Linked DNA regions of Yarrowia lipolytica. The protein of the gene in region 1 binds, or shares a complex with, the protein of each later gene. Links are inferred from orthologs where the notes say so. Each region holds a gene or a part of one and is shown on either strand. Other genes may lie near its edges.

What was found.
Region 2: YALI1_E32754g (region 1) and YALI1_E18269g share a complex: the UniProt entries of both Saccharomyces cerevisiae proteins name them as parts of the multi-subunit COQ enzyme complex. The link is inferred for Yarrowia lipolytica from reciprocal best matches to the Saccharomyces cerevisiae genes COQ11 and CAT5.

What each region holds. Positions count from the first base shown.
Region 1 is NC_090774.1:3,273,902-3,282,035, forward strand, and holds YALI1_E32754g (uncharacterized protein), read right to left. Parts: upstream 1,618-8,134; coding exon 1,575-1,617; intron 1,527-1,574; coding exon 760-1,526; downstream 1-759. Other genes in the region: YALI1_E32776g (uncharacterized protein), read left to right, coding at 3,681-4,757; YALI1_E32792g (uncharacterized protein), read left to right, coding at 5,307-6,335; YALI1_E32816g (uncharacterized protein), read right to left, coding at 6,476-7,699. UniProt on the Saccharomyces cerevisiae protein: Component of MIOREX complexes, large expressome-like assemblies of ribosomes with factors involved in all the steps of post-transcriptional gene expression. Component of a multi-subunit COQ enzyme complex required for coenzyme Q biosynthesis.
Region 2 is NC_090774.1:1,822,915-1,830,930, forward strand, and holds YALI1_E18269g (uncharacterized protein), read right to left. Parts: upstream 4,047-8,016; coding exon 3,468-4,046; downstream 1-3,467. Other genes in the region: YALI1_E18212g (uncharacterized protein), read left to right, coding at 1-73; YALI1_E18242g (uncharacterized protein), read left to right, coding at 1,354-1,926; YALI1_E18258g (uncharacterized protein), read right to left, coding at 2,078-2,884; YALI1_E18281g (uncharacterized protein), read right to left, coding at 4,625-5,185; YALI1_E18291g (uncharacterized protein), read right to left, coding at 5,705-6,235; YALI1_E18303g (uncharacterized protein), read left to right, coding at 7,441-8,016. UniProt on the Saccharomyces cerevisiae protein: Catalyzes the hydroxylation of 2-hexaprenyl-3-methyl-6-methoxy-1,4-benzoquinol (DMQH2) during ubiquinone biosynthesis.

The DNA.
Region 1 (8,134 bases):
ATTTAGTCTCTCGACACGTTCCGCCGTCGGGAATGTTGTGAATCATTTAGCCGCTTCAGGTGCCTCCGAATTGATGTTCTGTTCCGCCTCCCGGCATAGCTAATTACCAATCCCACTGGCCTAGTGCACTTGTACCTACACCAGAAACAAGGCACTAAATATAATGTGCGTGGTCGCGACACTGTCACTACACAAATTATTGTACCGCAGCACAATATTAGTCGTCCCAATGGTTATTGAGTCATAGCAAGTGTCAAGCGCATCGTCGAGCTAAGCAGGTAATATACGGCTCGTGCCTGTCTCTGATACAGAGCTCGTTCGTATGCGTCTTATACAGACATGCCGAGTAGCTGTGAGGAGGTGTTGAAATAAAGTGAACTGCTGAGAGCCAGGCACTATCATAAAAAACTCGCGACTACTACTTGCAGTACAAATACTCAAAAGTCTGTGTCCGTTATGATGAATCCAGTCACTATGCTACATCCACTAAACGCCGATCATCGAAGGGGTCACGGATGCAGTTTGCAATATACTTGTGCATTCAGACCCAGATACAAGTACAAGTACAGTAGTAATTGTTTTGGTATGAAGGATGTGGTTATCAGGTACCAGTTTCGTGGCAGGTCTCAATATCTTCTAAAGGTCCTTACGCGAGTAACACTGATGTGAAGGTATGTGAAAAGTATACCCTTACATCGGCAGTAGGCCTGCCATTAACCAGTCTGTCGTATCTCATATCATTTCCACGATCTATTTACATTAGTTTCTACTTTTGGAGTCACTAAATCGTTTGAGAGCAGCCAGGGCAATGACTCCCTCGATGTCCTCATTCAGAGCATCTACCGCTGCCTCCGCAACAACGTTGACACTGAGAGGAGGCTGGATGAACTGTGGAAGAGCAGGGAAGAAGGATCGAGCAACGGTCTGGGCGCCGAATCCGACCTTTAAAGCCTCGGCAAGAGCGTCTCGAGGTGTAGACTTGTGAATGCCAAATTGACGGTCCCCGGAAGACTCGTACATGAATGCGGGTCGCAGGAACACCGATCTGAGGTTGGTGAGGTCGGAGATTTCGGTCTCTGCCATTCGTTTGGAGGTGATATATCCATCGGGGATGAGATTGCTGGTCTTCTCGGCAGACACCATGACGTAGGGCTTTCTCTCGTCCATCGGAACAGTGTCGGCAAATGCTGTTGCCGTCAGAACTGCGCTCAATCTGTTCATTTTGTCGTAGGAAAAGTTTGGGTCCTTGGCCATAGGATTGGAGCCCTTGACGAGACCACACAGGGCGTCTTTAACTCCTCCGTTAAGTCCCTGCTTGTAGTTGCCGCCCTCCAGCAAGATTCCCATTGAGTGAATCACTGCCGACGCCTTCTCTAGCTCGTTGGTGTATGTAGAGGGCTCAAAGACGTCAGCTCGCTTCCATTGGACCTTGGACATCCAGCTCTCGGCGTTCTTGGGAGGTCCAGATCGAGAGATGGAAGTGACTGCCCATCCCTTGGAGAGGGCCTGCTTGCAAATGTGTCGTCCTGTGTTAGCAGCTGTGTGTGAGGTGTGTGTTGAGACTTGCTACTTACCAAGGAATCCGTTTCCGCCAAAGACAACGAGGTTTTTCGACATTATGTGCTGTGGTGGTAACACTCGATAATTTGTGATGATACGACAAGGTTCGGTGGTAAGGTTTGTGCTGCGTGTGTGATGCGGGTTGTTGAGGCGTTGACTGGATGTGGTGATGGTAGTGGGTATGTAGATACCGGTAGGTTGTGTACATGCTGTATTGGATGGCAGCTAATGGATGTTGGTGTGCTGATTATCCTTGGTATTGGCTACAGATACTGGTGCTGTGTTTTTATGGATAGCTTGGTCGGCTTAGCAACCGTATGGCAAAGTCGTCTCTCTTACACAAGCTAGGAAGGCTCCATATAGCCCCTTCAAGTGAAGTTGTCTGGGCGCGATTCCTCCTCAAGATACGCAGGCCAGGCACAAGTACTTGTACTTGTAGCTCCAACCTGCCCCAAAGGTAATATCCCAGGCCACAAAGCAGGTGCCACTTCCTCTCGTCAGTCCTTGCTATAACTCAAGTATTGTTCCACGCTCACATGTCCGTGGCTTACTAATTCAACAAACCTCCTCCTGGGTTCGACTCTCACCGGGGTACTATAAGTAGTATTATGAAGGCGCCTACAGGGGACCCCAACTGTCATGATATCATCGGATATCAAAAGATAGCCCATCGCCAAGAAAAGCAATCCGGGGAGAGATAGCCGATCGAGAAGTGTGGGGATAGACACAGTATCCTTGAGCCTTGCACCAAAACCCAACAAACTACTATATACGGCAACACTCCACCCCCTCCGGAATCCACCAATTTATTATTCCGGATGCTCTTGCCCCACCAAGTTCCAGTCCGTGATAGTACGCTTGGTAGAGAGGGTCCCACATGTACGAGTAGTGCACAACCGCATACAAAAGCTGCGATATTCCTGCACAGAAAAGTAGTGGCGGATATATATTGATTGATCAAATAACATGTGTGCACAGCCCCGCACTCTACGTGCTCGTATTCAGCCTCATAGAGTGTCACCACGTTGTCGCAACCAACCATCATCCACCTTAGCTCGGCCGAGTCACGTCATGTATTAGGGGCGCGCACCAATGTACACAAAGTTGCACTAACAAGAGCTTCTTGCGCGTTGCAGCTCTACGCCGCAAAGTGCCGTGCCGAACACAAAGACCTACTCAGCAGCTCCAAGGGCGCTCGGCCAACGATATAAATACACTCTCACCTCCGTATTCATGTTCCCTGCATTGCGGTTCTCACCATGGGCAATAGGCTTCATGTTTGAGACCCTCTCGCATAGAAGTGGCAAAGGTAGGCGAGCAAAGCGGAAGCAAGCAGGAACGCTGGAATTGGCAGTAAACACAGCGTAGCCCCGGCGTTCGAAGCGGCTGAACGACACAAAGCGACATGTAACATCATTGCGGTTATGCTCAGCCTCGCCCTCGTATCATCGGGTCTCTAAAGTGTCTCTTGGCTTTTCTCGGGTTTGGCTTCCGAGCAACTGCGTGTGTTTTGCCTGTATAGCGCTCCACCAAATTATTCCAAGAGTGTATCGGACAGCATTCTCTGGAAGTCTACGAAGCCAACTTGTACTCTTCCAATCTTCTTTTTATTACCTCGAAGCTATAAAAAATGACCTGATCCGCGGCAAGATCGGAGCCCAACCCTCATTCTAACTTGTCCATTCTTTTGCTTGTCCATGACCATTATTTAGCCCTTCAAGCTGCCTAAACGGTTTTTGGAGTTGAACTCTTGATCCGTTAACCTCAGCATTTAAATCTTTTTAAACGCGCATGAGATGTTGCTGCCGGAACACTTTAGGAATGGGACGTAGTAGGGGGCGTATCAGAGCCCCAGAAGAGAGATTTGAACACAGAACTGAATATAACAAGGCTCGAATAACCATCCGGTTACCCCATACATCGTTATAATCCCACTACTTCCTCCCACCGACACTCTTCGACCCCAGACATTAAAGCCTATACAAATTACAAAAGCCTACTCTGCAGACAGTAAACTCAGCCTAGCACGGCTCATGTATCTCTCAATGTAGATCTACCGTACAAGTGTACTTGATGGCCGCCTTCTCCACTCCCAACCTCCTTCGTCTCCATCGACACCAATGAAAATCTCAACGCTCATAGTCGTGGCAGCTCTCATTGGCCTGTGTTTGGCTGCTCCCCCCAGTGCAGAGGAGATGGGAATGACCCCAGACGAATGGTCCAACTGGGTGTACTCCCAGTATGGTGTCTACGGAATGCGACCCAGTCGAGCCGCCAATCTCGTGGGAATGATTCTCTTCATTATCCTGTGGGCTATCCAAGGAGCGCTGGCCTTGTACTACCGACAATGGTGGTTTGGAGGAGCCTTCTTCTGTGGCATCTGTCTGGAGTTTCTCGGATACCTGGGCCGATTCCTGTCCACCTGGGATCTCCAGAACTTGAACGAGTTCATTCTACAGATTGTCTGTCTGACTCTGGCACCTGCCTTCATAATGGCGGGTGTCTACTGTCTGCTGGCAAAGTTTGTCGTCATCTACGGAGAGAGCTACAGTCGGGTAGCTCCTCTGGTGTACACATTGATCTTCGTGGCCTGTGATTTGATTTCCATTGTCATCCAGGCTGTAGGAGGAGGTATTTCAGCCACTGCTCTCTACGACAACAAGTCTACCGACGACGGAACTCACATCATGGTCGCCGGTATGGCTTTTCAGGTCTTCACCATGTCAATTTTCTTTATCATGACCACTGACTTCTTGTGGCGAGTGCACAAGGGTATCCGTAACCCCAACGTCGCGGACTCTCGAGCCAATGACCCCGAAATCATTGCTATTCGAGAGTCGCCCAAGATGAAGTACTTTGTCATTGCTACATACATTGCCTTTGGCTTTGTCTTCACTCGGTCCGTCTACCGAGTCGTCGAGCTGGCTGAGGGCTGGTACGGCAATCTTCTTCAGCACGAGGCCTACCTGCTTGTGCTGGACGGTCTGATGATGCTCATTGCCATCACCATTCTGACCGTCTTCTACCCCGGCTTCGTCTGGGGCCGAACCCACATCAACGCCGGAGCTGTCAAGCATAGCAAGAGCGAAAAAAACGAGTTCCAGGACGTTCAGCAGGAACATTACCCCGAACAGCAAGAATACCCGGAACAGCGAGACGATGGGTCTTACGGAAAGGAGACCGAAAGCAGTGTTTAGAAGTCATATATAATGTATTATTTTGTTTTGAGCTACGAGAATCTAAGGCATGGGAGGCTACCCTAAGGCCCAGATGTTTGAGACATAGGACACTGAGACCAGACATTGTGAGACAGTACTAAATAGGTACTCGTGCAAGCACACATGCAAGTTCGAGACGGTACAATGTAGATACTTGTACGAGTACTCATTATGATGACACTCACAAGATGCTAGTATCCAGATCTAGACTGATGCACCCTCCGAAGCCGAATAAACAAGTTGACACTAGTAGCCAAGACTACAATAGTGCATGTAGCATCGTTGGATAGAGAAGAGTTCCTTGGGGAAGTGCTGTATTTATGAGTAAAACTAGGGATCGTATAACCATGACAAAATTACTGAGCAAATATCTCAAATCTGTCACCGACTCTCACTTTTCAAATTTATCGCCTTTAACGAACATGAACCCACATGTTTTTCCACCGAAATGCATCCTAACATACACTAAAACACAATGTCACAAGGACTTTTGCCAGACCTTTGGAAACCGCTCAAACAACTGAAAACATGCTTAACCACGATATTTGGACTCAGATTTTCTCTTTGGTCGACTTTCGCACCGCGCTGAACCTCAGATACTCGTGCAGAGAGCTCTTTCATCTGAGCAACGAACTGTCCGATGCAGTTTGGGCTCTATACCTGAAAGATATCGGGGGAGAGTTCTGTGAGAAGGCCAAAAACAGCGTCATTCGACTCAACAGACCTCTGGTTTTCACCACAGGACCTTTGACCAAGTGCAGTCAGAAGGCAGGTCCTCCTAGTCCGAAGGCTGGGTTCCTCAAACACCTCGTATACATACAAGGAGACGGTAAGATCGGGTATGTGGTGAACTATCGGGAATGGAGTGTTAAAGCGGTGGAAACTGAAGGAGGAACTGATACTACGTCCTGGTACTGTTTCTCTGAATTCAACAAGGAGTTTGAGTCCATCGCCCTAGAAGAAAACAGCGTGGTGTGGCAGAAACGACAGGGACCAGATTTGAGAGTCCAGATACCTATGAAATACCAAAACACAAGACACAAGCATCTCTTTAGAGCCTCGAATCCAAACCAGACCTTTGTCTATCTCCATAGATACTGGGAAGACTCAGAGGAAACAGACAAACAAGACTTTCTTAGTGACATACTGTTTGTGAACTGGAAGGAGAGGAGAATGAACTTGTTGGAAGGATGTATAACTATGGCTTCCGCCAACAGTGTCAATTGCGTCCTTATAAATGGACTGCTATTCTTCAAGGGACCTAACTACACTCTTCAAGTGAAGAACATGCTTACTGGAGAACATCATCAGGTGAGTCCCAATGGGGTGGAAATCGGTTACCATGATGATAGATACGTGTGCTACAACACTCTGGAAACAACACATGTGATAGATACACTCACTCTGTTAATCTACCCTCTGACTAATGTGCTATTCGACTTTCGCAGTGGAATTCAGCATATTGAAGGCCAGTTTATAAGCTGGTTGCACCCTGTAGTTGGTTCAGGCACCTTAAATCTCAAACCAGGCCAAGTCATGAACCTCAGTGACGTGTGACCGGGGTTAAGTACATTCACATCAACCTACATACAAGTATACTGCATACACCTTAACGTCTATATCAATAATACATTAAATACATACTTAACCAATATGTTTGTCTTGGCCAGTCGTTTGTGGGCTTGGAAGATAATCGCTTATTTGATGTTAACGACCTTAACATCGAAAGTAAGCTGGGAGTTGGGGGGGATACCGGGCAGCTTCTGCTTACCGTAGGCCATTCCAGGGGGGATAATGATTCGTCGCTCACCCTTGACCTTCATACCCTGGACACCAATGTCCCATCCTCGGATGACCTCGCCCTTACCGACAGAGAAGTAGAAAGGCTTACCCTTGGAGTTGGAGTCAAAGACCTTACCGTTGGCGAGCTTGCCAACGTATCGGACACCGACCTTGGAGCCGACCTTGGCGGAAGGACCCTCACCGACGGTTCGGTCCTCAATCTTGACACCACCCTCAAGCTGTCGGGTGACAAGCTTGGGCTTGGGCTCGGAGGGAGTGGGGCCCTGCTCGAGGTTCTTGGTGAAGGCAACCTTGGCCTTCTTGGCGGCCTTCTCCTGCTTCTTCTCCTCGGCGGCTCGCTTGAGGATCTTCTTAGGCTCGACAACGGGCTCTTCCTCCTCATCCTCATCGTCCTCATCGTCCTCGTCGTCCTGCTCCATGAGCTCGACAAGTCGCTCGTCACCGTTGATGACCTCATCCTCATCGGGAGAGAGATCGTACTCGCCTTCGTCGAGCTCGTCCTCATCATCCTCGTCGTCCTCACCGAGAGCAAGGAGCTCATCCTCGTCCTCCATGTCGTAGGGGTGCTCAATGTAGTTACCGGAGAGGTGGATGGCGTAGGAGCCAGTGACCTCGAACATGATCTGCTCACCGGGGGTGATAACGAGATCAAGAGTCTGCTGGTATCCAAACTTGGGGGAGAGAGTGCAGACAACAAAGTCCTCAATCTCACCCTCGTCGTCGTCGTCCTCATCGTCCTCCTCGAACTCCATCTCGTCGTCCTCGTCGTCATCCTCATCGTCGTCTCCTCCCTCAACCTCATCGAGACCGTCCTCGTTGGCGGCGATCAGCTTCTTGATCTGAGCCATGTCCTCAGCAGAGACTTCGTCATCCTCATCGTCGTCATCCTCGTCCTCGTCATCCTCGTCGTCCTCATCGTCGAAGTTGTCGGCAGGCTTAAGGATTCGGAGAGTGGCGGGCTCCTCCTCATCACCCTCAATTCGGGCGGGATCAATGGCAGCCATGGTGATTCGCACAGAAACAGGGAAGTCCTGCTCAATGGGGGCCACGGGAATTCCGGGGAACACGGCCAGGGTGTAGGAGGCCAGGGGAAGGCAGTTGTTGGCGTTGTTAGACATGGTTGTTGTGTGTGATAGATACAAAAGTGCAGACCCAAGTATTTAAAATGGGCAAATTTTTGGAATAAGGTTGCATATGCACTAAGAGCTTAACGGGAGTGCTGTACATTTGGCTGGAGCTCGTGGAAGACGGTGAAACCGTTATTGTGGCAATGGTGGGATCTATCGAGGTAATTGGTAGGACACATGCACCAACATACGTGTATATGACATGTAGAACCGTCCACTGCTGTTAGGCGATATGTCGTCTTTCGCAGCCCATCAAGGCACTCTCAAACCCAATCCATGGAAAATAAACGTGGGACTATTTGGACTTGGGACTTGGTGCTTGCAATCGTTGTTGGTTGTGTCGTCACGTAACATTTATAGCAACTTAGGGACATCTGGCAGAGAAGGCTGCTTGGTCCAGTAGTGTGGTAGCCTTGAATTGGTCAT
Region 2 (8,016 bases), about 1.4 Mb from region 1:
GTTACCTATTGTTAGAGACGGACTTCGAGAGTGGTTTATCGACAAACTCCTGGGGCTTGAGAATACCTCATAGTAATTCTCACGACCATCACGAATCATGATGACTTTTACGACTTTCACGACTTTCACGACTTTCACGACTTTCACGACTTTCACGACTTTCACGACTTTCACGACTTTCACGACCTTTACGACCTTTACGACCTTTACGACTTACGACTTTTCCGACCTTATGACGCTTATGACCTTTATGACCTTTACGACGCTCACGACCTTTACGACCTTTACGACCTTTACGACTTACGACTTTTCCGACCTTATGACCCTTACGACCTTTATGACATCTATAACCTTTATGACCTTTATGACCTTTATGACCTTTATGACCCTTCTGATGACTTTATGACTTTATGACCCGCTTTATCCATGATCCCCACGATCATCACGACCTTGCTATTACGACACTGTTTATAAAGTCCTATGACCCTTATGATATTAATGACTCTAATGACTCTAATGACTCTACGATTTTCGTGACCTCACAGCACACACAACATCCCTTCAATACATATTTAAAAAAATAATGATATCTATTAGCGTACAAATCTATGCCGATACCGGTATCATAGTTACTGACAACTGAAAAATTATATGTGTAAGTTGTCAACATTGAGGATGCCAAGGGTACTTGTATCTGCGCATGAGGTATGCCAAGAACCATGAGACAAATTCGAGTGTACTGTTCTTGTAGCTACTGGATATCGGTAGTACAAAAGATGCGCTTTCCGACACTGTAATGTCAATAGAAGTTTGTGAAATAATATACCAAAATACCAAACACCAAGCTCGGAACTTAGATGATCGTCAAAATATTCAACCGTCGTAGAATCTCGAAAAACAATAATGATCCGTCCGTTCAGATTAAAGTTGGAACTGCGCCTCCACACGGCACTTGAATTGGTCACCTCAACATCATTAGTGGTATGATAGAAAGATGGCGGTGATGCTGAAGCTGGCGGTTGCCTCTACCAAGTCGGGTTTTGTTTTCTGTGATCTAATATAATTGCGCAAAGATGCGGTATCCCTTCGTGGTTTCACCACTTATAAGCCTACAGTGTGCACACATCTGCAGTGTTAAACCATGCCAGTCCGGGGGGGTTCTAAGCAGATACAACTTTGATCACCAGAAGGGTGCGTGAGCAGCTGCGCAAGACACCCGACACTCACAACCCAGACTTTACAGCTGCTAACCACACGTTGACCGCCACAACCAGGATCCGTTGACGACACAAATTAAGGGCAAATTCGACAAAACTAGCATAATCGCATTGCTATAAAAGACACGGTTTCACCATGGGAAAAGCAGCATCGAAACTGTCTAAGGACGAGCTCACTGAGCTCAAGAAAGCAACCTACTTCGACCGAAAGGAACTGCAGCAATGGTACAAGGGCTTTCTCAAGGATTGCCCGTCTGGCCAGCTGAACAAGGAAGAGTTCCAAAAGATCTATCGACAATTCTTCCCATTCGGCGACCCTTCCATGTTCAGTGAATACGTCTTCAACGTTTTTGACAAAGACAAGAGCGGAACGGTGGATTACAAGGAATTCATCTGTGCGATCAGTGTAACCTCGCGTGGAACCCTTGAGGAGAAGCTAGAATGGGCCTTCCAGTTGTACGACATCAACGGCGATGGTAAGATCAGCTACGATGAAATGCTTGCCATTGTCACGGCCATCTACAAGATGGTTGGCTCAATGGTCAAACTACCTGAGGATGAAAGTACACCCGAGAAGCGAGTGGACAAGATTTTCCGTCAAATGGACAAGGATCGAAATGGTGAGCTGACTCTGGAAGAATTCCGAGAGGGATCCAAGGTTGATCCCACCATCGTCAGTGCTCTTAATTTATATGACGGACTTGTCTAACGAGGTCCTTGATTGTCGTCCACAACCTATGTATCCAATATACCTTCATATTTTGTTTCATTCAGCTTATTAAATGTTATAGGAAGCATGGTTCCTTTTAATACTGTTATCTCTTTGTAGGTCACACACGGATAGTTAGCTACAGTATGCTCTATTTACCCAAAACGCCAGGCAGAGGCTCGCTACCAACGCTCATCATGAGCTTGATACCGAGAGTAATGGTAATCAGAGCGACAACTGCAGTCCAGAAGAAAAGCTGGAACTGGACGCTCACGTCCTGCTTCTGGCACAACTTTCCTCCTCGGCCAGTCTTGCACTTGCATGTGTAGGCAGACTCGCCACGGCCCTTGGAGCAAGCACCATGGCCTGAGCAGTTATTTGTCTTCTCGTTGCACTCATCCTCAGAGCCAAATCTGGCAATACCAATAGCCTGCTTCTTCTTGGAGGCTGCTAGGCGGCCACGTTTCTCCTTGTTTGTAGCTCGGAGGCATGAGGGGGCGTACACGACGGTGACAGGATTCTTTTCGTCGGCGTTAGAAATCAGCTCTTCAATATGGCTTGACGAAGACGACATTATGAGGGAAGCCTTGGCAGCTCCATGCTTTTGTTCCAGTCGGTGACTCAGTTTCTGAATAGCGCCCATATCGATGGCGGACTCAATTGCGTAAAGAGCCCCAGAGTCGTCGTTAGCATGATCAGAGAATAAAACGGTATGGGAGTCCACAGGGCCCAATCCCATCTGAGGAAGAGCGAAAAAGAACTGCTCCTTCTCGGCCAACTGGTTGCCGTTGAGACCACTAGACAGACCCAGGGTGTCAGCCAACACGAGGTGGGCCTCAGCTCCATTAATGGACTGTTGAGCAGCACCCGTCTGGGGGTATGTAGCAATGTAACCCATGCATTCGGATGAGGCAATAGCGGTGGCGGACAGCGCCGACAGCAAGGCGAAAAACTTCATGGTTGTGGTGTCTCGTCGACTGTGCTACTGCTGTTGTCAACGCACACGAAGCATGAACCCTCGATTTAAAGTTTGATGGGAGGTTGTTTTATTGGTACGAGTACAAGCGTGTTAACTATAGAAGTACAGTAACAGGTAACACACAGTGATCGACAGCTACAGCATGACTTCTTGTACGATGACTTACGGTCCTGACATACCTGGGGAGGTTCTACAACGGCGCCAGAAGAGAATTCAGCAAGCTGCCAGTGCCCTTGAAGTGGTCCAGGCTGGACCGCAACTGTCCGAAGAGGCAGACTCATCAGACGACGATGACTTCGGTCCATCACTAACAGGTAACCCCAACATCAGCGAGACAGAGGCTCTCAATAGGTTAGAGGAGAGGAGCAGAAGCAAGACATGGGTGAATATGGACCCTGCTCACAATCCCAACCGGGATGGGTGGATGCAAAATGTCCCTGCGGAACTCTCAGGGACTTTTTCGAGTGAGTCGGCGCAGGATCGTGCTAAGGAGATGATGGGGTTTAAAAAATAGTTCACCTTCCACTCGTACATTCGTTAATACATATTTATATACAGATGCTTAAACTCGCTCGGCGACCCAAATGGCTCCTCGACATCCTGCTTTGATGGTTTCCGTGAGAAGCCAGTAAGGTCTGGCTTCATGCGAGTCGTTTTCCACAGCAATCTCGAGATGCTCCAGCTCCTCGTCACGGAATTGCTTAACAATGCTTTTCAAAGAGGTGATCTCTTCGTCCTTGGACCGCTCTTCCTTGGGAGGGAAGTTTTCGTGTAACCATCGCAACTGAGTGTTGTAGTGTCCACCAATAACAGTTTCTACGGCTTCAGTGCAAGCCATGGCACCTTCTTGACCAAGAAGGGCCGTGGCACAGCCTAGACCAGTTGCTGCAACCTTCCAGATCGGGGTAAGCAGAGACGGCCGGACTCTGTATTTCTGTTGAAGCTCGTTGAAAGTTCGTCTGTGGTGCTGCTCTTGCTCCCACATGTGCTTGATGAGAGGCTCGATCTCAGGCTTGGTTCGGCTGAGAACCATGTACTGACCTCGGTAAATAAGGTCCGCACCAAGTTCTCCAGCCTGGTCGACACGGATGAGTTTGGTAATAAACGAGGCCTCTGCCTTACTGAGTGCGTGTCGGGCCATGTCTGTTTGGAGGACTGAGAGAAGATGCGTAAGGTGGTGAAGTTAACTTTTGTCGGCTCATGTCCAAATTCATTCATCCCAAGTCCGCACTCTGCTGCGACGCAGGTGTAAGACTCGAACAGGATGTCGGACGCTGCACATGATAGAAGTCCCCAAATTGAAATCGCACATACATCACCAGGATCGTAGGCTGCTCTCTACATATCCCCACCTCAATTGTCAAGACACGGGGACACCCTCAATGACTCGGAACTCACTTGCTGCCGATGAAAACTAATCTGTACTCAAATGCCACCTCATATGATAACGAACCTTAACTGTGTGATCTGAGTAAGCAACTCGGCTTACAGTAGATGGGAAGCATAGAGCCAGAAGACGAAGAGGGTGAATAGAAAACATAGTAAAAGGGCTACGAGAACCAAATTATTATCGAAAAAAACAAGCTTATCTATATTACCAGTCGTCTCCTCCACCATAATCATCAGCGCCTCCCGAATACATATCGCCGTCGTTGTTGTTACTGTTGTCGTCATAATAGTTGTTCACAACCGTGTCACCGCCATCATGGTGGCCACTCATCATGTCTCCAATAAGCATACCACCAAGAAGACCACCACCAACACCCATGGCGGTAGTTCCCCAATTTCGTCTGTGAGGTTGCTGCTGCTGCATCTGCATAGGCGGGGGCTGGGCATACATAGGTGGAGGCGGGGGTTGTTGGTACATGGGCTGGGGGGCCAATAACCAGGTCCAGGGCCATAACCAGGTCCAGGGCCACCGTATCCGGGGCCCGGCCCTCCGCCATATCCGGGGCCCGGTCCTCCACCATAACCTCCGCCACCGTGGGGACCGCCGAAGCCACCAGGGCCAGGTCCCCCGCCGTATCCTTGAGGGCCTGAACCACCACCACCATATCCACGCTGCTCCTGGTGAGGTCTGTTGTTGTTGCTGTTGCTGTGGCTACTTCCCCGAGAAGGAGGCCGGTCGTATGATGGCGGACTGTGGCCACCGGAGCCGCTAGGCTTGTCCCACTGTGATTTTCCGTTGGAGAGGTCGACATAGTAAAAAGTCTTGTAGTTGGGGTCCCATTTGGCTAACCAGCCATCGGGGACGCTGGGGGGAGTTGGCTCGTTTGGCATGTCGTTGCTGAGGCCTGGGCTGGACTGAAGATGCCGTGTTACAGCTAGCTACGTTTCGATCGCTGCACTTCGTGGTCAGACTTTATTGGGATTTGAGATTTGGGTATGGGTAGTTTTGGCCAAGTTTACTACTGCACTACACACAGGGTAATTAGGAGGCTGTGTCAAATGTGACCGGAGGCTGTGTATGACTGATCCTTCACGTGCGACCTTACAAGCAATGAATACGGTGAAGGAATAAACTCGTCGCGCACTATTATATGCCTCTACGAGCGATATCATGATATTTAGATTTGTAATACGCGCCTTTGCTCCGGGGAACTGCACAACCTCTCAACAAGATTATGGTGGTACAGTATCGTAGACAGTAAGTATGTACAACCCCACCTGTCACCCCGAACATAAAAGTACCATACAAGTGTGATTGAATAGCGCCGTTGTATTTTCTTGTGGGTTAGACACAACTCGACATATACTACAGGTAGGTGATTAAATCTATGCACTTATATACAGGCTTTCTCAAAGATGAAATTTCTTCCCAGTGGAAGCAAATGCTTCGGAGGTTTCGGTCTCCAGAAGCTCTGTTAGGGTGGTGCCGTCACGCAGATAAACCCATTCACCGTCGACATAGTCATAACGCTTGGGGCCGGAAATGGGGGAACTTAGCCAAATCTGTTTGTTCGGGGGTTGTTTGTTGATAACGTAGGATCCAGCACCAGGGATTTCCAAGCTCATCACGCCTTGAGCTAGATCCACATCCAGCTCATTTGAATCGACCTCCTCAGCGTATTCTTCATAAGCAATCAAGATAGACTCCAAATATTCATCCGCTTGAATGTGGTAATCCTCTAATTCCAGCTCGGTCGCCTGGAGAGAATATAGTCGGAGCGTTTCATGATGTGTAGTGATGTGTGGCAAAGTAACTGTTCTTGTCGCACGTCGCACGCCAGTGGTGAGGGGTCTGCGAAGAGGTAGAGAGGCCACTCCTGTGGCTACTCTTGTGGCCAGTGCGATTCGGGGCACTGTTCTTAGCGATCTTATCAAACTCATGGCTTTCTGAAGGATCGTGGTGAAGGACGATGCCTGGGAGTAAAGTTCGCCTCAATTCATGCAAGATCACCAGATCGCTCTTTTCTCCCCACGAATCCGAGTAATCAAATTATGATGGCCGCCCACTCTTCCACGGTACAATTAAATGTTACGGAGCCATATAAAATGAATTCATAAGATGTATGCGGCAACCTAAACTTGGCTGAATGATACTTATTTTCTATTTTGCCACCATATTCTGAAGTATTTACTGTCCTTTTGAGGGGTCTGTCGGCGGTTCAAAAGCCCGATTGGTTGGAATTAAAAATGTCTGTACAAGTACGATATATTATTGTACGATACAAGGACATACTACGATAGTACAGTAAGAACTACTTGTAGTGCTTCTACTCGTACTTATACTTGTGCGATACATTAGCTACAATCAATATACTTGTGATGTCGCATGCCCGCAAGCGAAGATTACTCGTTGCTAACTACACGTGAGATACATTTGGAAGACTGCCCAACGCTGTTATACTTTGAGTTGGTCGTAAACAGAGTTTCATGCGTGCAGGAATTTGCGATGTAGCAACACCATCTGGGTGGGCTAACAGCTGGTATTTAGGCTGTTGTTTCCTCAGATGAGCAATAGACAAATACGATATTACATTTCCAAAAGATTCACAGGATACGAGACTTTAAAACATTTCATTTTCTCTGCTTTTCGGCGGTTGTGTAAGATTTCCAATTTCGGTGAGTAGTGCTTGTCAACAAACAGTCTGACCCCTTCGGCGCATGAGAGACTTCAATAGAAAGGGTAAAACCGAAGTTGGAAACATACCACACACCAAACCCACACACAATACACAACAGGCACAGGCGACAACGTCGAAACAAGACAACTCACGATAAGCCGTGCAAAAAAACTGGCAGAAGAGACACGTTCAAGACACTAGAGCCTTTCCTGGTCCCAGAGCAACCCCTGTTGTCCCTGGTGATTCATTTTGAAGGAAGACCACTGCAGTCAACTGATACACGACACCCACTTCGCGCCACCACCACAGCATATTCTCTACTCGTCGAGCCCCAACTGATAAGCGGTAGTTTACCTTTCAATAGTTGCCGCTGCAAACGCTCGCTCTCGGTAACACGGACATATACACCACCACCCCGCACCCTCTGCTCAACTCACAACAAAAGCAGCCTCAAACTACGATACAAAAATGCATACCGTCTCCATCGTCAGGAAGGACCCAAAATCTAGCAACGCTAACTATCCGCTGCGGGGTACAGATACTCCAGACTATCTCTCGCAGTTTCACTTTGACGTCAATGGCAACGAGCTCCAGTTCGTCGAACTTGGGGGTGAACAGACGTCCACCTCTGCCAGTCTCGAGAATGGAACTCTTGGAGCTGCCTCTGATAACGCAACATCCCGTGCTACGGAACTCAGCAAAAAGCGCCAGGCGTCTTGCAGCCTGCCACGCCAGAAGAAGGTACCCCGAAATGACTTGGAAATTGAGCAGACCGACGAGCAGCAAACATCCGCATCAAACGTCGCCATGCCTTCGCCTCCCCCGGCTCGAGAAGAAGAAGAAGAGCAACAGCATCTTACCATTCCTCATGCCAACCTACGGGACGAAATCCCTCAGCTCCTCGACAACTTCGACGATCTACCAGCCCCTGTCAAGAACTACGTGATGTTCCAGCTTCTACGTCGATGCAACAGACGGAACCTGTCGATGGTAGCCGATATTGTCGTCCCTGCCTTGCGCTGCGATTTGCTGTCCATCTTTCCT